Caenorhabditis elegans: one gene and its partners. The protein of the gene in region 3 interacts with the protein of the main gene of each other region in a pairwise test. Each region holds a gene or a part of one and is shown on either strand. Other genes may lie near its edges.

Evidence for each region.
Region 1: the proteins of pie-1 (region 3) and hda-1 interact in binary tests that used the Caenorhabditis elegans proteins (3 or more experiments, as listed by UniProt).
Region 2: the proteins of pie-1 (region 3) and T26A8.4 interact in a two-hybrid assay, tested with the Caenorhabditis elegans proteins (2 studies listed by BioGRID).
Region 4: the proteins of pie-1 (region 3) and Y113G7B.15 interact in a two-hybrid assay, tested with the Caenorhabditis elegans proteins (2 studies listed by BioGRID).

The regions. Positions count from the first base shown.
Region 1 is NC_003283.11:14,523,852-14,527,986, reverse strand, and holds hda-1 (Histone deacetylase 1), read right to left. Parts: upstream 2,599-4,135; 5' UTR 2,580-2,598; coding exon 2,406-2,579; intron 2,360-2,405; coding exon 2,242-2,359; intron 2,197-2,241; coding exon 1,330-2,196; intron 1,237-1,329; coding exon 1,010-1,236; 3' UTR 576-1,009; downstream 1-575. Other genes in the region: ril-1 (RNAi-Induced Longevity), read left to right, coding at 3,876-4,025, 4,074-4,135.
Region 2 is NC_003282.8:8,428,427-8,433,231, forward strand, and holds T26A8.4 (C3H1-type domain-containing protein), read right to left. Parts: upstream 3,068-4,805; 5' UTR 3,065-3,067; coding exon 2,785-3,064; intron 2,594-2,784; coding exon 2,241-2,593; intron 2,185-2,240; coding exon 1,917-2,184; intron 1,864-1,916; coding exon 1,439-1,863; intron 1,393-1,438; coding exon 994-1,392; 3' UTR 535-993; downstream 1-534. Other genes in the region: tmem-231 (Transmembrane protein 231), read left to right, coding at 1-86; pdtf-1 (Permeability-Determining Transcription Factor), read left to right, coding at 4,716-4,758.
Region 3 is NC_003281.10:12,424,879-12,429,701, reverse strand, and holds pie-1 (Pharynx and intestine in excess protein 1), read right to left. Parts: upstream 2,810-4,823; coding exon 2,525-2,809; intron 2,472-2,524; coding exon 2,364-2,471; intron 2,321-2,363; coding exon 2,195-2,320; intron 1,160-2,194; coding exon 1,071-1,159; intron 1,015-1,070; coding exon 615-1,014; 3' UTR 507-614; downstream 1-506. Other genes in the region: snr-6 (putative small nuclear ribonucleoprotein E), read left to right, coding at 88-143, 191-407. UniProt on the Caenorhabditis elegans protein: Maternally provided pie-1 is required for germline cell fate determination. Functions as a repressor of RNA polymerase II-dependent gene expression in the developing germline. Required for expression of nos-2 in P4 germline blastomere cells.
Region 4 is NC_003283.11:20,228,384-20,235,792, forward strand, and holds Y113G7B.15 (Pept_C1 domain-containing protein), read right to left. Parts: upstream 5,461-7,409; coding exon 5,173-5,460; intron 3,610-5,172; coding exon 3,435-3,609; intron 2,510-3,434; coding exon 2,141-2,509; intron 840-2,140; coding exon 583-839; 3' UTR 556-582; downstream 1-555. Other genes in the region: sld-5 (DNA replication complex GINS protein SLD5), read right to left, coding at 6,891-7,117.

The DNA of each region.
Region 1 (4,135 bases), on a different chromosome or scaffold from region 3:
AATCGGTTACGTTGCGAAATTGAATATCCTTTTTTTTCGATATTTCTGAATTTTAGACTTGAAAAATGAACGACAAACAATGAAAAGTATGAATGAGTGGAAAGAAAAAAGAAAAACAAAGAAAGAATCGAAACATGTTTTCATCTTTTTTGCATTTTCAACAACAAGAACCCAGTAAAAAGCTAATTTCTCTCTCCGTCTCTGTGTGAAAGGAGTGCTCGGAGAGCCGATTCGATTCCATTCCCAGGTGGGGCTAAAATTTGGATAAGTGGATTTTTATGATGCAATTTTTGTTGGTCTCCGTTTTGGAGCACACCATCCAACATCAGATGAAGACAGACAAGGAATACAATTGAAAATAGAAATGAGAATTTATTCTGTAATATGAGACCACATGCGTAGTCATCATAATTCGTGTTATAATTGCTCGCTTCCAGACAATAATTATGAAGCAGCTGAAACTGACGACATAAACGATGTCAACTGCAAAAACTTTAGTCTTCTTCCATTCGAATTCCAATGTGACAAATTCGATTTTTCCAATTTCCGAATTGAAGATAGACGTTGCGCCGGTTCCAATCGAGTCAATTTTATTAAATAAATAAAAACGAAGAAATTCACCAAAATACAAAAAAGTGTTCAGGATCTGACTGTGGAATTGGAATTGTGTGCCAGTAAAATGGGGAGTGTGGGACGACAAGAGAAATGGAAATCGTTGAAGGGGGTAGATTAGATGTGGATGTGAGGAGTAAGGATGTTGAGGAAGTGCAAAACGGGTAAAGGATACTGAGATAAAAAAGGATTAATGGGGAAAAGTGAAGAGATCTTCCAAATAAAAGTGCTTGAATTTGAAAAATAAATAAAACAGTTGGGATTTGGGCGGAAAATTAAATTAGATTTAAGGAAAATCAAAAAGTAATACTCATTTGACAAGGAAAAAGTGGTGTACAGTGATTGAATATTATTTTCAGAGGAGATACTGAATTCGACGGCGGCACATTTTAGTGTTTTACTCTGTCTTCTGACGCTTTTCACCACCTTCCGACTCAAACTGAGCTGCTCTCTTCGCATCGCTCTCGTTTCTTCGATCATCTCCCTCACGCTCACCATCGTAGAAGTCTCCATCGTCTTGAATCATTCCATCGGTAATTTGTGGTGGTAGTCGTTTGTCGGGATTAGCTTGGTCGGCGATCAATGAGTCATCATTCAATGCAGAGAGGGCGTCTTCTGGGATCGCTGAAAAATGGAATAATTATGAAGTGTTCAACAAACATCTAATAATTTTCTGACAGATTCTAAAAAGTGAACAAAAATTCGTTCAAAACGTACGTCTCATTTGAACACTTGGAACAAAAGTGAGCTGCTCGAGATTGGCGATGACGTCAGTTTGCAATTTAGCCAGCATATCGGAGCTATTTTCATTTGCTGCATTCGACGACTCGATGTGAAGTCGGTAGTTTGGTCCAAAGTATTCGAAGTAGTCATTGTATGGCAACTCATTTGGAACTTCCTTATCGACGGCAATCGAGGTTTCGTACGTCCAACAACGTGCCACATTTCTTGGAGTGTATCCACCTCCACCGACCATCATAAGTGGAACGTTGTAGCTTCGGAAGAAACGAGCACATTCTCCGTGGCCTTTCAAGGTCAGATTGAATGGTCCAAGTCTATCTCCGTTGAGAGAATCAGCTCCACATTGAAGAACAACAGCACAGGGATCAAATCTCTCCATAACCTTTGTCATGATTGGTTTAAAAATACTCTGGTAAGAGACGTCGGTGATTCCATCGCGAAGTGGAACATTGACTGAATAGAGCTTTCCTTTTCCAGCTCCTATATCTTTCAGGTCTCCGGTTCCTGGGAAGAAATCTCCATATTTATGGAATGACACTGTCATTACTCGATCAGTCGTATAGAACGCCTCCTCTACTCCATCTCCGTGATGAACATCAATATCGACGTAAAGTACTCGCTTGTGGTACTTGAGAAGCTCGAGAATACCGAGAACGATGTCATTGGTGTAACAGAATCCGGACGCCTCGCTTTTCTTGGCGTGATGGAGGCCTCCCATCCAATTGATAGCAATGTCCACCTTCTGCTTGTTCAATTTAGTGGCAGCAGCCAGAGAACCTCCCGAACTGAGTTGGCAGAACTCATAAAGACCATCAAAGAGAGGACAATCTTCTCCAACATTGACTGAAATGAGACAATACATTTAGTTTTAAAAAGAATATAACTTACACTTAAGCATTTGTTTGTTGAAGGATTTCAGATTATCTGGATTCGCACTCTTCAAAAACGTCATGTACTCGTCGCTGTGAAAACGAGTCATGTCTTCGAATGATGCAGGGAATGGGCGCTAAAATTAAACGTTTACAATATTTCAATGAAGAAATATTACTTACGAAAATCTCTAAATTCCGGTACAGACCATAGTTGAGAACGAGATGATGGGTCATTCTGATACGATGTGGCTTCATGACGTGCCCTTGACCATAATAGTAATTTCCAATGTTGGAGTCATAGTAGTAGGCGACACGGCGCTTACCGTGCTCCATCAACGGGCCGTTTGAGTTCATGTTTGATGGTCGCAGTAGACTGAAATAACAAGATTGCTCGAAGAAAAATAAAATGAAGAGAAGGAGAAGGTGTAAGACAGGTTATGCAGTATTGATCGAGTTTTTGGCTAATTTTTGGTAATCGATATAAACGCGACGTGAAAACGCTCATTACTATAACACATTTTGATCAATAAACTGAATTCGGCAAGATCATTGAAGCGGAAAAATATAAGAATTGAGGTTTTGTAAAAACTTTGAAGGAATATAATTTTCAAAGACATATACTTAAACAGGTGGCTGTGGTTTTTTGGAATAATTTAGAGCACTGGAAAATTTCGCCAGTGCCAAGGAATAAAAAATTCTGACAATATGATATACTGTCTTTTGGGCCTTGTCTTGAAATTATTTAAATTTTCTTGGCACAATTTCTACAGGAATCTAAACTAGCCAGCCACAATCTATTATCAAAAAATATCAATCGCACAGGCCACATGGCTTTTGATTTTTATTTCTTTTTTATTTAGGCTCCTCCCATGATTGACCTTTAGTTTAATTTTTAAATTCACTTCGGAAATAAAGTTGTGGGAGGAGCTTAAATAAAAAACAAAAGCCACGTGGCCTGTGCTATTGATATTTTTTGATAATAGCATTTTACGAAATTGAGATTAATATTTGAGAGTGAGTTCTCCAATGAATTTCCTGGCGCCATTGCTGGAAGTATTTTTATTTTGAATCGAAAAATGTTTAAAAAATATTATTCAGTGCCTACAAATCGATATTTTCTTCCTTGAACGGTGGGTCTATTAGACAGGTGCAGCTCAGTGAAAATAACTATTCGAAACACTTCAAGCGTCGTCTTTTTATTATATTTTGAACAAATATAGATATAATTCTAGTAGAAAACAATAAGAAAAACAGAAAAGTGAGAGAAAAACGAGGTGAACGGTGAAACAGTTTTGAACGAGAACAGGAGGCAGACAAAAAACGCAGCGTCGTAAGTGTGTGCGGCGTGTTTGCACACAACCGCGAGCACGCACAATCTTGCAAAAAGGGGCGGGACGAAAACCGCCGTCAGTTTTTGGCTTCCCAATTTTTTATTTTTAAGCTAAAAATTGCTCTTTTTGAGTTTTTTTTCGATGTAAAATATTGATAAATATAAGTTATTTTGTTTATTTCTTGCAATTCACGTTCAATTTTTCCCCACGCTCTCACGATGTTGAATTATGTCAATTATCTTTTTTTTTAGCTTAAAAATATCAATATTCAAATAAAGCTTAACTACATAATCATTTTTAGTTTTGTAGGTAATCAACTATGGTCGTAGGAAAGCTCTTTGAGGCAGCAAAGTGGACTGCCGAGACAGTCAAAGGAGCCGCCGTCGTCGTTGCTTCTCCAAATGCTCCAATCCCGGCCACAGACCTTCATCCACGCATGCCAGCCCGGCCATGGACCGCTCAAGAATACGTAAGATTTCCCGGAAAGTATGAAGAAAATAAATAATGACAATTTCAGTTGAGAATGTGGTCCTGGCGCCATTGCTGGAAGTACCTCCCAATCTTCCGTTTCTACATTTA
Region 2 (4,805 bases), on a different chromosome or scaffold from region 3:
TTACAATTGTTGATTACGTTTTTACCTCATGTACTTCGTATATGTTTAGAAATCGTGTATTTTATGTCAACGATGTTGTTCGTTAAGCTTTAATGAACAAACACATCAAATTGAACACAACAAGATGTAATTCATATAAATAACTCTAAAAGAGTCTTATGTTTCCAAAATATTTCTAGGCAACTTGGTTCAGAATCGGGCTGGCAGGCGGGTATTGCGTTCCCACCTCGCCGTGCGATGTAATCACAGAAGATCATCGCCCGAACTCATCATATTCAGTTGCAGATCAGAGATTGACCCATACTGAAGACTGGAGAAAGGGTGAAAGTGTGCTGAGGCAACAAAACGGCGCGGCCGACACTCTTCAGGTTCCGCCGTCAACTAAGTTTTGTGTGTGCCGCTAAACGAGAGTGCGTGTGAGACGAAGAGGCGCAGAATGAGGTATCTGTGCAGTGGAAAGGAACACCCTCTCTTTTTGACATTTCCGGCTACAATTGATGATTTTTTTCAAATATAATAACAAGTCCAAGTTTTAATAAATCATTCTTCATTCAAAATATGTTCTCATCTTATACAAGTTAAAAAGAAGTGAAGAAAACATCAGTATAAATGGTTGAAACACAATTTTACACATATCAGAAAAGTGAGCATCATTTGTGGAACTTGATAACTGATTAAAAATAAAATGCCAGCAGTTCGGGGAGTGGATTGGAACAGGGATCGTACCAGTATCGTCTGTGAGTGGAAAATTTTTTTGAAAAGCCTCAAATGTCCAGATAAACTCGTTGAAGACAGGAAAGGTTTTGCAAATTTTTCACAAAATCATAAATGAAAACTTTAAGAAAGAACTAAACATTAACAGGCAATATGAAGAGACCAGATCAATTGAAAGATTGAAAAATGTGATACACTCACATGAATCTAAACTTGTAATTGTTTTGTTTAAAAGATAAACTAATGTTTTCAGTAGACATTGAATAATTACAATAAAAATTAAGATATTTGAGGCATCCACGAGGAAAATGGCATTGTATTTTGTTGACGATCATTTTTCTCTTTCTGTGCCCGAAGTCTTGGATCTGATACGGCATTCCCTCCAGCGCCCAGCAATGAGCTGAAAGCATCAAACTGTTTGGCGATTGCTTTGGCTCTTCTTGGATCATTGGCAGCTATACGATCAGGGTTCTCAACATTTGAGTACGGAAGTCGCCTTTGAACACGAACTAGTCCCCAAGTGACTTGCACTGTTTGTGGTATGACTGCTACACGATTCGATGATCCAAACATGCTGGAATAGTTGGACGGAGGAGGCGAGGCTGGAGAATCGTCGACCACGTTGTTCCGAGGACTTGATATGAGCTTTTCGCCATTGGCCATCTTGTTAAGCATTGCCTGAAAAATAAATATTGTTAAATGAAAGCTTTCTCAATATTCTTACCTCTAAATTGAATCCTTGTGGTGATGCAGTATGTCGTTCTTGAGAGACTATTTGCGGTGGCTGAACTAATCCAGGCTGCTGAAGATGTGGATGTTGAATTGGAACTGGATGCATAGGCCTCATTAGTTGTGGTTGCTGTTGATGCATTATAGGAGGAGTTTGAGTACTCAGCCTAGGTGGCTCAATTGTTCGTGGCGGTGGAAGTCCTTGAACTTGTTCGGGCCGTGGCCCTTGATTGAAATATCCTCCAGCTGCTGGAGCAACAGGGTATTGCTGATGTATTGGAATTCCTGGTCCAGGGTTTCGTTGAATGGTTGGCACAACAACTGCTGGTGGTGGAAGTTGACTTGGATGAGATGCTTGAGGGATCGGAGCATGTATCACAGGCGTTGCGTGGGGTGGAGATGAACCATTCATATTAGGGCCTGAACATTTTTGAATAATTATTATGGAAAAGTGATTTCGATTTTCTGCTTACCTCCAGGGAGGAGAACTCTCCTTCTTGGCATTACTTGTGCAGCTGCAGCGGCAGCAGCAGCATTTGCCACTGGATTCTGTCTGTATGTTTGAGCCTGCTGCGCTTGATGAGCCTGCCGGGCTTCTTCGTCTGCTAGAATCTTCTCAATGATTGGTCGGGTATAGTCCGTCAGGGGAACGTGAGAAAATCTACATGGATCATGGTTGCATTGTCCTTTGTGGAAGGATTTGCATGGGAATTCTCCATGGAGCATAAGACATTGTAGACCCTGAACAAGAATTAGTATTTTAAAATGAAAAGTTGGTTTTTTTTTCTGAAACTAACCTTTTTACAAAAACTATTAGCATAAAAGTTGCACAGAACAGGCCGTCTCAGTGAATCTTCGGCTTGGTGAGAGTACAAACAATTGTCACCGTCTCTACAATAACCTTCTCGGAAAAACTTGCAGATCTGATGTTCTGTTTGAAATCTTGGCTTCGCTCCATTCCGGAAGCCACCCCGGAATCCTCCTCGTCCTCCATAGTATGGCCGTTTTGATCTCGGGTCAAAGTCTCCGTCGTCGTGGGAAGGGGATAAGCGTCTCCGCCGATTTACACGATAATCAGTATCACTGAATGGTTCTTCTTCTGACGAAGCTGCTGCTCCGCTACGATAGTCTTTATCTCCACCGAAATAATCTGAAAATTATTAAATTTCTCCTTTTCAGCACTCGAAAATTATTCCCATTTATTAATGCGTCAATAAAAAACAAGAGAGGTTACACTCTAAATTTCGTAGAATAAACAGTTGCCGGGATAATTATCGGATCGGATAAATTTAATTCACAAATCAGACGTTAGACTTTCAAAAAATTCAGAGAAACATTTACCATTTCCATCCGGAGCATCATTGTGAGATCCAAACGGATCCGGATCTCGCTCTCTCGGAGGACTATTCCCTTCAAACCGCCTGACTCGTTCTCGTGAATCCCGACCACTTGTTTTCTCAGGATGTGCTGGAGCAATATGAGCACCTGGAGCTGATTCTGATGATTTGGAGGGCACTGCTTTTACAGATTCATCTTCATCATCACATATTTCACCGTCCTCAGGAAGTTCACCATCTTCGAAATCGTCTTTATTTTCATTTTGAGATATGATGTCCGTCATGATCTAGAATAATTGTAATGATTGGATTTATACCCGGTTTTACGGATTTTCATAATAAAAAGTTAAAGCGGTGTTCACTTCTCAAGCTCTAATAAAAAGCAAGAAAAGAAATAAAAAGATAATGAAAATTCATGTTTTCCTCCGTGATTCCCTTTTCCGGATCTTTGTGATTATTTACATATTTCAGTTCGTTCTCTCAATTTTCAAGTCACAGTTGCAGTGGGAGGAGCATTCTCATGTTGTCTACGATAGAAACGGCATGAGCGCCCATTGGTCGCGCAGACTCCGCCCATAATGTAGGAAATTTGAACAGAGTTTTGGGATGAATTTTTTCTCGAATTAAAAATCAACTATTTCGAAAAGCTTTAAAACATAAAAATGTATAGCTTCTTGGAATCTTGAACGTTGGAATTTCAGTCTAGAATGCTCAAATCTGGAACTCAAACAAACCGTCTTTTCATATCAATAACTTCAGTTTTTCAGTTGCTTTTAAATTCTTCGAACTATTTCAGATCAATGTTGATCTTTCAAACTCGTTAAAATTCAATTAACCAATTTTTCGTCATTTTTTCTCCAATTATGCTTAACTTTTTGTTACCATTTGGAAACTATTCTTGTATGTTAGAAAAAGGATTGATGATGACGAAAACCACAGAAAGAATGTATACAGCAAGCGCGTTGTCATACTGCTGCTATTCGCTCAAGTGACTATCGCAACCCGTCAAAATCGACCACGAGGGAGAAGGGAAGAGTGGAAAGAGAGGCCCCCGTCATTTCTCTCTCTCAGCGCAAACAACTCTACTAATCGGCAGCGTCTCTTCAGTTTACACACTCTAACATTGAATATCGATCAAGGGAAATGGGCTTACGAATACGAATTTCGTTACGAAACACGTTTTGGGCTAGGCGCGTTACAAGGAAAATAATATCTAAAGAAATTGAACGTAGCGTGGCAAATTTAACAAAAACTGGAAATAGCTAGACTAATTCACCTAAAATTAGCAAATTTTTTCGAAACAATCGAATTTGACACTAGATTAAATTTCCAACGTTCATTTTTCCGAGCGATTACCAGCTTTATTGAGCTTTGAATATTTATCAAATACCTCCAATTTTCAGAATATTTCAGAGTATAATTTCTTCAAATTCTCTTCACCTTCTCTGCAATTAATTTTCAAGGGATTGCACACGTTTTTCTGGCTTTTACATAAGCTTTCGCCCAGTCGGATCATTTAATTTTACTCCCATATTCTTTTTCGCCAAATTCACCTAAAATGTTTGTTAGAAGTTTGTGCCACAAAAAAGAAACAGAAAATGAGTATATGAATTCTCCGGAGTGCCGTCGTGGCGGACACCAGCATTAATGTTTTCGAAAATCACACGAGACGACTTGCAAGCGAAGCAAACCGCGCGTCTGAAGACCGTGACGCAGCCGCTCCGCAGTGTAAAACCAGTCAGAGACGCAGACATTGCTCTCATGTCCCGGTGGGACAGAGGAGTACGGTAACACTCGTTTCACGTGTGTTATTTTTACTTTATTTTTTTCCAAATTGCCAACTGTTCGATTTTTCAAGCTTCTGAACAATTTAAGAATAAATAAATCGAATCAGGGAAAATCGATTTTTACAGAAAATCACGACGGGTTAAGTCCATGAGTTTTCATGACGATTCACACATCTTATCACAGCTTGGAAGTGAGTTTCAAAATTGTTTGTTTACAAACGAAATAAATTATCTGAAA
Region 3 (4,823 bases):
CTGCTAAAATCGAGTTTTCTTGATATTTATCTTAAAAATTTGTGTCTTTCAAAAAATATATTGATTTTTACAGATCATCCCGCAAAAATGTCGACGAGAAAGCTCAACAAAGTGATGGTTCAGCCTGTGAACCTCATCTTCAGGTAATATTTTTTCACTAATCAGTAGAAAACAATTTCCCAAATTTCAGATATCTCCAAAACCGCACTCGGGTCCAAATCTGGTTGTACGAGGATGTCACCCACCGTCTCGAGGGCTACATCATCGGATTCGACGAGTTCATGAATGTCGTGTTCGACGAAGCCGAGGAGGTGAACATGAAGACGAAGGGACGCAACAAGATCGGCAGAATTCTTCTCAAAGGAGACAACATCACTCTCATCCACGCCGCCCAACAAGAAGCCTAAATCATCGTTCACTTTTCACGGATCTCTTTGTTCATTTTTCTGTCTCTGTTTCGCTTTCGCACCGTATTGTTCCAAGTTTTCAAGTTTTAATATGTCTTTAAAAAAAGTAAATTATTTTTGGCTTTTTTGGCACAAGTTCATTCACAGGACAAAGAGAGGGGGTGAGTGGATAAATATACAAAACAAAATATGGAAAATACGGCAAAATTAGGAAATAATAGTTGGTGGTGGCTGAGAGAAGAATCCATCGGGGAACACTTCAAACGCACCGCCCGTGGCATTCGGATCAATAGTCACATCCATCATGGGCATGCCATTCGAATTAATTGGTTGATAGTAGTATGTCGGTGCCATTGGTGCATACATTGGCTGGCTATTCATCAAATCATGTTGCTGTGGAATATATTGCACTGGAAAAGGAGCTCCTTGTTGAGCTTGCGGCGGTGGAGCCAAGAAATATGGCATTGGAAATGGCAGGAATTGTTGCTGATGTTGTGGATGATGATGGTAGTAGGCAATCGGCGGCGGACAATCGGAAGAAGGTGGCGCGTAAACCGTCGCATTCGCATTGAAATGTTGCATTTGTTCGACGTGAATGAAGCGGCATCTGAAAGGAAAATTTATTTTATTTATTTTTAATAAAAATTCCAGATTTCCTAGAACCTTGGACCATATCTGCAGTTTCCTCTCTCGAAATTGTGACAAATCTGACGACGATTCGAGCTTCCGTGGTTGTTGCTGGGTCTCCGATTCTGGAAGTAAAATATTGTAATATTTTCCCTAAATTTCACTTAAAAATAAGGATTTTTGCAACGTAAAACCTCAAAAATTCGCTGAAATTGACGATTTTTGTTCAAAATTTTGAAAAACAGGGTTAATTTTAGCTGAAAATCTTCAATTTTGCCAGAAATTGGCTTTTTTTCCGTCGCCACACGGAGAACTTGCCAAAAATGAAGACTTTTAGCCAATTTAGCCCTGAAAATTCGAGTTTTGGGCGATTTTTGGTCTGAGAAGCCGTTTTCGCAGTATATTATATTTTCTCGTTAAATTTCATTTTAAAATAAACATTTTGAACGTATAACCCCAAAAATTCGCTGCGCAATGGATGATTTTTGTCCAAAGTTTTGATAATTTTAGCTAAAAACCTCGAATTTTGGCAATTTTTCGTGCCGCATCGGCCGAAAGTTGACTTTTTTTGGAATTATCATAATTTAATGCACATTTTGGTAGTTTATCTCACATAATCTGTCTGCAGGCGGGAAAAATTTGAGATAAACTACTAAAAGATGCAAAACAAGGATGATAATTCCAGAAAATCAACTTCGGACCGTCTCGACACGGAAAATTGAGCGAAATTGGAGTTTTAAAATGATTTAGCCCTGAAAATTCGAGAAATTTAGGCGGTTTTGGGTCTGAAAAGGCGTTTTCGCAGTATTTTCTCGCTAAATTTCATTTATTATCACATAATATCAGTACTTAGGCGAATATCTTGTAGAAATGTTGGTTTTGTTCGATAATTCTCTACTTTTAGAGTCGATTCACGAGAAAATGTTGCACCATCTTACTTTTTTCCCTTGTAAAACATAGATTCTTCTGTACAATGAAAGAGAACACAATTTCTTCGTGAAGCAACTCAAAAAGTAGAGAAAATTCGAACAAAACCCAACATTTCTACAAGATATTCGTCTAAATAGTGATATAATGTGTTAATAAGCATATTTTAAATGAAATTTAGCGAAAAAACTGCGAAAATTTGTCAAAAAAGCGAATTTCCATCCGATCAGCACCTCATCATGATGCTTCGATGCTGAAGAACTCGATCGATTGATTGTTGTATCCACGTCGTCTCGTCTAGAACGAGAATCACGGCGCTCACGTGGTGGATCTCGGGAATAATACTCTTGGCGGCGTCTCTGAAAAAAAAATTTTCCAAAGATTTCCAGGCTTCAGACACACCGGAACTCTCAGCTCATCTTGTCCGTGAGCATATGTGCAATTGTCGTTGTACGGGCAGTATCCTTCACGGCGGAACGCATCACAAAGTCGCGTTTTGTATTCTGTGTGCTGGAAAAAAAATCGATTTTGCATATTTTTCAGTTTTTTTTTTAAATCAAAACCTTATCCTTCGCCGAGCTATGTCTTTTAGTTGCCGGCGCCTCGTCAATCTGAGCCAATGGAGTGATCTTGAGCGCTTCACGCTTTGGACGAAGCCATTTTCCACTATATCCGGACGACAGCGAATCATTGAATGATCGATTGATTTTCCGTTGATCTACTGAATTTTGAATTCTCGCCGGGCACGTCGCATTCAGAAGACTGTTCGATCGATCGGCAGCGAACGACGTGTCATCTGAGTTGTTGAGTGCAGCCATTTGCTCGGCAATCGGCTTTGTTTGAGCCATCTGGAAAAGAAAATTTGATTTTTAATTGTTTGGGAAACGAAATACTGCAAAAAGAAACCTAAAAAGTGATTGTAAAACTGAAAAAACGGCGAGAAATCCATTTTTGCCGCCGAATTTGGTTACGGTTGGTTTAAAGGCGCATGCCTAAAGTTTTATTTTCGTTGCGGGACTCACAGATTTTTAAAAACTTTTTCTTTATTTTTTGAAGATTTCTGTGTTTTTTCACTGATTATTTACAAACAAAGCTCAATTTTATGAAAGCTTTCAATGTTAAAAAATAAAATTATATTTAATTGAGAAGTGCTCCGTGCTGAATTTGGGGGCAAAAACTCAATTTATAGCGATTTTTATATAATTTCTTATAAAATAAAATTTTTTCAGATGTTTTGCAAACGAATTACTGCGAAAAGAAACGTGAAAAGTGATTTTAAAACTGAAAAAACAGCGAGAAATCTTTTTTTGCCTCCGAATTTGGTTACGGTTGGTTTAAAGGCGCATGCCTCAAGTTGTGCTTTCGTTGCGATACTCACAGATTTTTAAAAAAACCTTTTTTGATTTTTTGTTTGAGTTTTTCAACTTTTTCAAGCATTTTTCTCGATTTTTGATACATTTTTTGCTTTCAAATCCAATTTTAAAGCTATTTTTCCGATATTTTCATGTTTTTCACGCTATTTTCGATTCAAATGTGTCTTTTAATCGTTTTCCGTACGCTGAAGGTCATTTCTGTTGTCCTCACCAAACATTAAAATTACAAATAGTATCTCCCAAGCAAAAACGTTAAAAATCGCTTTAATTTTGATGAAAATTTTCCAGTATTTCCCAAATTTCGAACAAATTTTTTTTTCAGCAAAAAAGATTTTTCGGAATTTTTTTCTGAAATTTCCCAGATTTTCCAGTAGTTCACCCTTTTTCTCCAATGTACTCGTACTCCAAGTACATAAATATGTCGATTTTCTCTTCCATATCACTTTATGTGGCGTAAAGAATACAAAAAAACCGGTTTTTCACCTCCAAAATCGGGCTATATTCTGTGTGAATATACAAAGAGAAACAGCTTTTACATATGTCTTTTGACGCCATTTTTTCTCGATTTTATTTAAAGGTGGAAATTGCTTTAAAACATGCCTATGGGGACACAATGACCGAATATCATGATAAAAAAATTCAAAAAAATTGTCTAGATGTTATATGATTTTTTGAAAATTGAAAAAATCTCAGTTTTCACCTAATTATATTTGAATTACCGCCAATTGAACTCGTTGGTTGGAGCGCGCTTGCATTATTTTCATTAGTTATTTGAATTAATTTTCATTATTTCACTGATTTTCTTCATTTTTGGGGTTTTTTAATCGGAAAATGAAAGAAATATACAAGAAAAATGCAAAATCTTTATTAAAAAGTAACTGAAAATGCCTAAAACTCCGAGAAATACTAATTTCAGTTTTTAATAAACATTTTGCATTTTTCTTGTATATTTCTTTCATTTCCCGATAAAAAAAACCTCAAAAATGAAGAAAATCAGTGAAATAATGAAAATTAATAAAATTAATTAATGAAAATAATGCAAGCGCGCTCCAACGAACGAGTTCAATTGGCGGTAATTCAAATATAATTAGGTGAAAACTGAGATTTTTTCAATTTTCAAAAAATCATATAAAATCTAGAAATTGTTTTTGAATTTTTTTATTATGATATTCGGTCATTGTGGTATTACGGGAACATAAAATTCTGAGAATGCGTATTTCACAACATATTTGGCGCGCAAAGTATCTCGTAGCGAAAACTACAATAATCCTTAAATGACTACTGTAGCGAATGTGTCGATTTACGGGCTCGATTCTTGGAAAAATCCACGTTTTTCGAATTTTGACAGCGATACTCAATTTCTCTTCGTGTTTTCCTATTCCTTTGTCATTTTTGTGTTTATTTTTTAATATTTTACCTATTAATAAATTAATTTGATTTAAAAACGTCCAATATTCGTGTCATTTTGATGAGTAAACTCATACAGACG
Region 4 (7,409 bases), on a different chromosome or scaffold from region 3:
AGATTGTCGAGAAATAGCGAAGAAGCTGAACGACAAAAATGACAGAACAGTCAGCGTAGTTTTCTTGTCAGAGAGAGCAGGGGCAATCAATTTGCATGGTGCGACACATGTCATTTTGCTAGGCATGCACTGGAATCTGGCTCTTGAACAAGAGGCATGTAGCTGCGTATGTAACATTGCACAGAAGAATATTGTCACTATTCACAGGTACATTTTTAGTTATCTATCTGGAGGAATAATAAACAGGCAAAGTTTCGAGATTTTCTTGCAACTGTTCAGTTTTTTTTTAGTTTAACATTGTCATCTCTAACGACTGTAATTTCAGAATAAAGGTTGCTGGCACCAATGAGGATGACGTCGAAAAAGCTCAAGACGACAAAAGCGATAGATCTGTCGGAGCAGAAACACCAATTAGAGAGTCAACGCCAATTTCTCTCAAGAAATAATCATTTTGTCGTGATAACTTTCGAATCGTTCATTATTTTTTAAGTTTCCGGTTTGGCAAACTTTTGTAAAACTTTTGTATACTCAAATGTTGTAATTCACTAAACCAACTAATTTTTTAAAACATTCATTACACAATTAATTATCAATCATAGCAGTAGCCGCATGACTTTCAATCAGACACCAGTTAACACCACGTCGAATCTTGACATATCCATGAAGACCCCAATCGGAATTCCACGAGTTTCTAACCAACCAATACGGGACACCGTCATCTGATGTACCATAACCAACAATTGCTACGGAATGCCATTCCGCTGGTGTCATTTGGTAACAATCTTCGGATTGAAGTACTCCTGATGTGTACCATTCAAAGTTCTCACCCACTCGGAAATCTGGAAAAATTTGAAAATTTTTTGGAAACTTTTTTTTTGGAATTTTTTTTAATTTCAAAATCTTATAACTTATCCAGTTTTTGAGATATTAACTTTTTCTTTATTTCAAAATGTGCGCAAAATGATTCACTATCAGTCTGCAAAAATTTCAGCGTTCAGCCATTGTAGACCACAGTACCACAGGACTTTTCGCGGTCAAACCAAAATTTTGAAAAAAATTTTTTAATTAAAATTTTTAAAATTCCAAAATTTCGTAACTTTGTCAGTTTTTAAGATATTTACCTAATTTTTATTTCATAATGTGTGCAAAATTTTTTACTGCCAGCTTATGTAATTTCAACTTCAAGCCATCTCAGACTACAGTACTCCAAGAGTTTTCGTGGCGGGACACAAGTTTTCAAAAAAAAAAATTTTTTTGCAAAATTTTTTAAATTTCAATACTTCAAAACTTAGCCAGTTTTTGAGATATTCACCTAAGTTAAATTTCAAAATGTGTGCAAAATCTTTTACTATCAGGTTATAAAATTTCAGCTTCAAACAATCTCAGACTACAGTACCACAGGACTTTTCGTGGCGGGGCCAAAATTTTGAAAAAAAAAATTGCAAAAATTTTTAAAATTTCAAAGCGTTATAACTTTGTCAGTTTTCAAAATTTTTAGATAATTTTTAACTTGACAGGAGCGCATACTCTTTCTCTACTAGAATTCAAAGCTCAGAGCCATTACCCAAGACTTTTCGTGGCGGGACCAAAATTTTGAAGAAAAAAATATTTTCTTTGCAAATTTTTTCCGAAATTTAAAACCTTATAACTTTGTCAGTTTTTAAGGTATCTGACTTATTTTTATTTCAGAATGTGTGCAAAATTTTTTACTGTCAGCTTATAAATGTTCAGCTTCAAGCCAATTCAGACTACAGTACCCCAGGACTTTTCGTGGCGGGACCAAAATTTTGAAAAAAATATTTTTTGCAAAAATTTTTAAAATTTCAAAGCAACATATCTTTGCTAGTTTTCAAGATTTTCAGATAATTTTTATTTTGACAGGAGCGCATACTTTTATTCTACTAGTTTGCAAAATTTGGGCTTCAAGCCATCCCAGACTAAAGAACTACAGGACGTTTCGTGGTGGGACCCAAATGCTAATTTTTTCGCAAAATTTTCAAATTTCAAAACCTCATAATTTAGTCAGTTTTTAAGATTTTTTTTTCGTAATTTTTGCCAGATTCACATGTTTCAGGCCCAAACCATACCGGATTACTGTACCCCAAAACTTTTCGTGGCGAGACCCTTCAAAAAAACTTACAAACTGCTGTAGGGATATGATTGAGATACAAATTCTCCATAATATCCTCCTCTGCATAATCTTGATCAAATCGATAGACATTTAAAGTTTCCGGCTGGATTACTGTACTTTTCTCGTCGCCCACGCAATTTCCAGTGGTATTCGCCCGATATTCCTCGTAAGGGTAGTCACCGTCACTGGACTGTCCCCGTAGATGCACCATTTTCAGACCGTTCCTTGGATCACCTCCCACGCACCCAGGAGTGTCTCCTGAATCTGCACAATCGCAAATTTCCTGGTCCGAGAGACTTGTGAAGGACTTGGAGTAGAGGGTGTTGGCAGCTTCGGTGATGGCAGTGGTGGCGAACGCCCAGCAGCAACCGCATTGTTCTGAAAAGTTATCAGTTGAAAAGAGCGTAAAATTTAAAATGGAAATAGTTTTTGAAACACCAAAAAATAAATATTTTGAAGGGAGTTATGAAGGTTTGAAGTTGGTGGCCTAGAATTTCAGATGAGGCCACCGGTATTTGGGGGAGTTTTTCAAGTTAACAATTAAATTACAAACCGATTGGCTTTTACAAACTCCAAATACGTCGATTTTGAAGCGAGTTATGAGAGTTTGAAGTTGGTGGCCTAGAAATCCAAATGATTGTTTTCTAGGCCATCAAAATTTAAGTAGGTCATATTGAACGTAAATTTCATGGTGAACAAAATTATTTTTACGGATCTCGAAAATATCAATTTTCCGCCGAGTTATATGGGATTGAAGTTGGGTCCTAGAAATCCAATTTGGTGTTTTTCTAGGCCATTAAAAATTAACTAAGTTAATTTGATAGTAAACTTTATGGAAAGATACATGCTTTTAACAAAACCCGAAAATATCAATTTTCCGCCGAGTTATGACGGTTTCAAGTTGGTGGCCTAGAAAGTTTAAAAACTCTTCCACGACTATAACTTTGCTTAGAAATTATAGTTTTCAAACCTGAAATTGTAAAAACATTGAGTCTAAGTTATTATTGTTTTCGAATAATTGGTGGCCTAGAAAACCTGAGCATGATTTTTCTAGGCCACCAACTTCTAACATTCATAACTTGGCGGAAAATCTACATAATAAAATTTTGCAAAAACCAATTTATTTGTCTAAAAAATTGCAATAAATTTGACCTACTTGATTTTGATGGCCTAGAAATCCAAAAATTTCTGCATTTCTAGGCCACCAACTTCAAACCCTCATAACTCGGCGGAAAATCAATATTTTTTCGCCAATCAAAATCTGTGTTTACTCAAATTTTAAGCTTTTTCAAATTAAGCATACCTTGATCTTTAACAGGACCAACAACTGGACTCCCATCGACATAAATATCACGGAGGTCGAAATAGTCCGGAATATCCCCACTTTGACGTTTTGAGCGTTTATTATGATGATTACGACTGCCACGTGGATGCCTCGGCTTGTAAATTGGAAGATCCGTGTGGTTTTTGGGATGAATCTGGAAAATTTCCAAATTATTTTTTTTTAATTTTCGTTTAAAAAAAAAGAATAATTAGAACTTAAAGAACGCACCGTGAACATTCTAATACAATTTTCAAATTTCAAAAATATTGATTTTCCGCCGAGTTATGAAAGTTTGAAGTTGGTGGCCTAGAAACCCAAAATTTTGGATGTCTAGGCCATCAAAAATTAAATAGGTCAGATCGATTCCAAATTTCGTAAGTTGGTTTTTGTAAAATTCAGAAATATTGATTTAAAGCCGAATTATGGAGGGTTGAAGTTGGTGGCCTAGAAATTAAAAGTTAGGCCACCTGCTTCAAATTCTTGTAACTTGGCTCAAAATCAATATTTTTGAGTTTTACAGAAACAAACTTAATCAACTTGAATTTTGGAATCAATTCGGCTTATTTAAAATTGGTGGCCTAGAATTTTTCAGGTTTCTAGGCGACAAACTTCAAACCGGCATAACTCGACGGAAAATAAATATTTTTCAGTGATTCCAAAACTAACGTATATGTCTCAAAATTTGAAATCGATTTGACCTATTTGATATTTCGTGGCCTAGAATTTCTAATATTTGAGTTTCTAGGCCACCAACTTCAAAACGTCATAACTCAGCTCAAAATCAATATTTTTCAGTGATTCCAAAACTAACGTATATGTCTCAAAATTTGGAATCAAATTGATCTATTTAATATTTGGTGGCCTAGAATTTCTGATTTTTGGGTTTCTAGGCCACCAACTTAAAACCGTCATAACTCAACGGAAAATCAATATTTTTCAGCTATTCCAAAACTATCGTACTCTCCCTAAAATTTGAAGTCCATTTGACCTACTGAATATTGGTGGCCTAGAGTTTTTAACTGTTGGGTTTCTAGGTCACAAACCTCAAACCGTCATAACTCGACGGAAACTCAATATTTTTCAGTGACTCCAAAACTAACGTACTTTTCTCAAAATTTGAAATCAATTTGACCTATTTGATATTTGGTGGCCTAGAATTTCTAACTTTTGAGTTTCTAGGCCACCAACTTCCATCTCTCATAACTTGGCTCGAAATTAATATTTTCAGTGGTTCCTAAACTACCGTGATTGACTTGAAATTAGGAATAGATTCGGCCTATTTAAAATTGGTGGCCTAGAATTTCTGATTTTTGGATTTTTAGGCCACCAACTTCAATCCTTCATAACTTTGCTCAAGATCAATATTTTTCAGTGATTCCAAAACTAACGTACTTGCCACAAAATTTGGAATCGATTTGACCTATTTAATATTGGTGGCCTAGAATTTCTGATTTTTGGGTTTCTAGGCCACCAACTTAAAACCGTCATAACTCAACGGAAAATCAATATTTTTCAGTGATTCTAAAACTAATGTACTCTCCCTAAAATTTAGAGTCTATTTGACCTATTTAATACTGGTGACCTAAATTTTCTAAATTTCCGGTTTCTAGGCCACCACCTTCAAAACGCCATAACTCGGTTTAAAATCAATATTTTTCAACCAATCAAAAACCATCTTGCGCAGAATTTTGTGCGCTTTTTGAAAAAACTCCCCAACCTTTGAATTTCTGGCGCTCAACTCCTGTCGATTCTTATCAGCAAACTTATTCCACCCAAAAGTCACATTTCGTCCTTCTCTCCTTGCTTTCGCATTAAGTTCCTGGATTTTCTGATGATTTTTCGCGAAATGAGCCAACCGGCGGTCTTTCTCCGCCGGGGTACGGTAGTGTTTCTTATGGTGCATCGTGAAATTGTTAAAATGTGACAGTACCTCCTGAGAGTGTTGGGTTACTGTAGGTTGGCATAGAGAGAGTAGGAATAAGGGGGAAATTATGAAAAGTAACATTTTTCAGGTTTTTACGGGGTTTTCGCTGGTTTTTATAGGTGGAATCACGCCGATCAACATGTTCAAGGTAACAGGTAACATAAAATGATAAAATATGAAAAAAAATTGTTCTTGTTTCAGTGTTACTCTGAGCCCTGAAAGTTTAGTTCTCCAAAAAAAAAAAAATTTTTAATCTAAAAATTTAAAAAAAAATGTTTTTTTTTTTTTTTAATTCCCTCAAAACCCTTCGCAATTGTTCTAAACCAACTTAGCTATACTAATTCAAACATTAAAAAAATATTGACCCTAGCGGGGGTTCGAACCTATGACCCTCCGCACATAACCATACCTCTTCCCGCCTGAGCCACTTTGACCCAGTTTTCAAACTGCTCCAAAATTCGCGTAATTTAGTTGTTTTAGGCTCAGAATTTCACGATAATTCCAGAAATTTAACTAGTTTTGATCTACGTTCATGTTGAACAGAGTTATGAGTAAAAAACTTTAAATCGATCAATTTCTTGGCTCAAAATTCGAAAAAAAAAGTTGAAAAGTTAATATGGGTGTCAAAAAATGTCTAAATTTTCTGCAGAATTTGGAAATTTATGCTAAAATCGCTGAAAACTTCAAGAAATTGGCAAAAAACCAAAAGAAAACACATTTTATCGATTTTTTTCAAAAAATTCCCTTAAACCCTTCCTCCCCTTCGCAATTGCTCAAAACCAACTAGGCTATACTAATTCAAACATATAAAAAATATTGACCCTAGCGGGGGTTCGAACCTGTTACCCTCCGAACCATAGCCTTCTCTCTTCCCGCCTGAGCCACTTGACCAAGTTTTCAAACTGCTCCAAAATTCGCGTAATTTAGGTGTTTTAAGCCTGAAATTTTACGAAAGTTCCAAAAATTTCACCAGTTTTGCGCTATGGTCATGCTGAACAATGTTATGAGCAGAAAAACTTTAAATTATTCACTTTTTGGCTCAAAAATCGAAAATTTATATCAAACCAAATTTTTTTGTCTATTTTCAGGAAAAAACATGGAGTAAGCTTCGTTTTTATGTTTAAAAAAGCTAAAATAAATGAAAATTTAAGAGAAAAAAACCCGATTTTTGAAGTGAAAATCCAGTTTTTTGGGGGAACATAAAAATGGAATAATGAGGTTTTTGAGCAAAATTTGATAATTTTAAAGTGAAAAATTGAGATTCAAAGAGGAGAAAACAGGCGAAAAATCACCGCAAAATTTCAGTGAAAATGCTCATTTTTTGACAGAAAATTGGCAAAAAGTGACAAATTAAAGTAGACATATGTAAAAAAAAAAAAAGGGGGTTTCAGGGGTAAAAAATGATGAAAAATTCGGGAAAATTACAAAAAAATGGATTAAATTTACGATTTTAGGGGTAAAAATGATGAAAATTCCAAAAAAATCCGAAAAAATTATCAAAAAATTCTTCTTCACATCAGTTGAATATTTCCATCTTCAACCAATTGATGTACCGATTCGAACGGAATCAAATGACACGATTCCGGTTCCATTTCCAAAATCACTTCTCCATTCAAATCCTGCCAATCCGGAATCGCAACGTTGCCCACGTCATCTGACGTCACTTTTGCGTAAACCATGACGTCATCATGATCGCCACGTGGAACTGGCATCTTTTTAAGCGCTGCTGGCATGAATTCTGAAGAAAATTGAGAGTTTTTGGGAAATTTTTTTTTTTTTGAAATTTTGAAAAAAAAAGTTTTTTTTTGGGAATTTTGAAATTTTTTTTTTTTGAAATTTTGAAAAAAAAATTGTAAAAATTGCCACGTGGCATTAAGCGAAATTTTGCAGTTTTTGAGAGAAAAAAAAACTGCAAAAAAAATCGAAATTTTCCAGATTTTCTGAGCTTTTACGCAAATTTTTCTGAATTTTTGAGGTAATTTTCTAAAATTTTAGCGAAAATTTTAAATTTAATTTTTTTTTAACTTAAA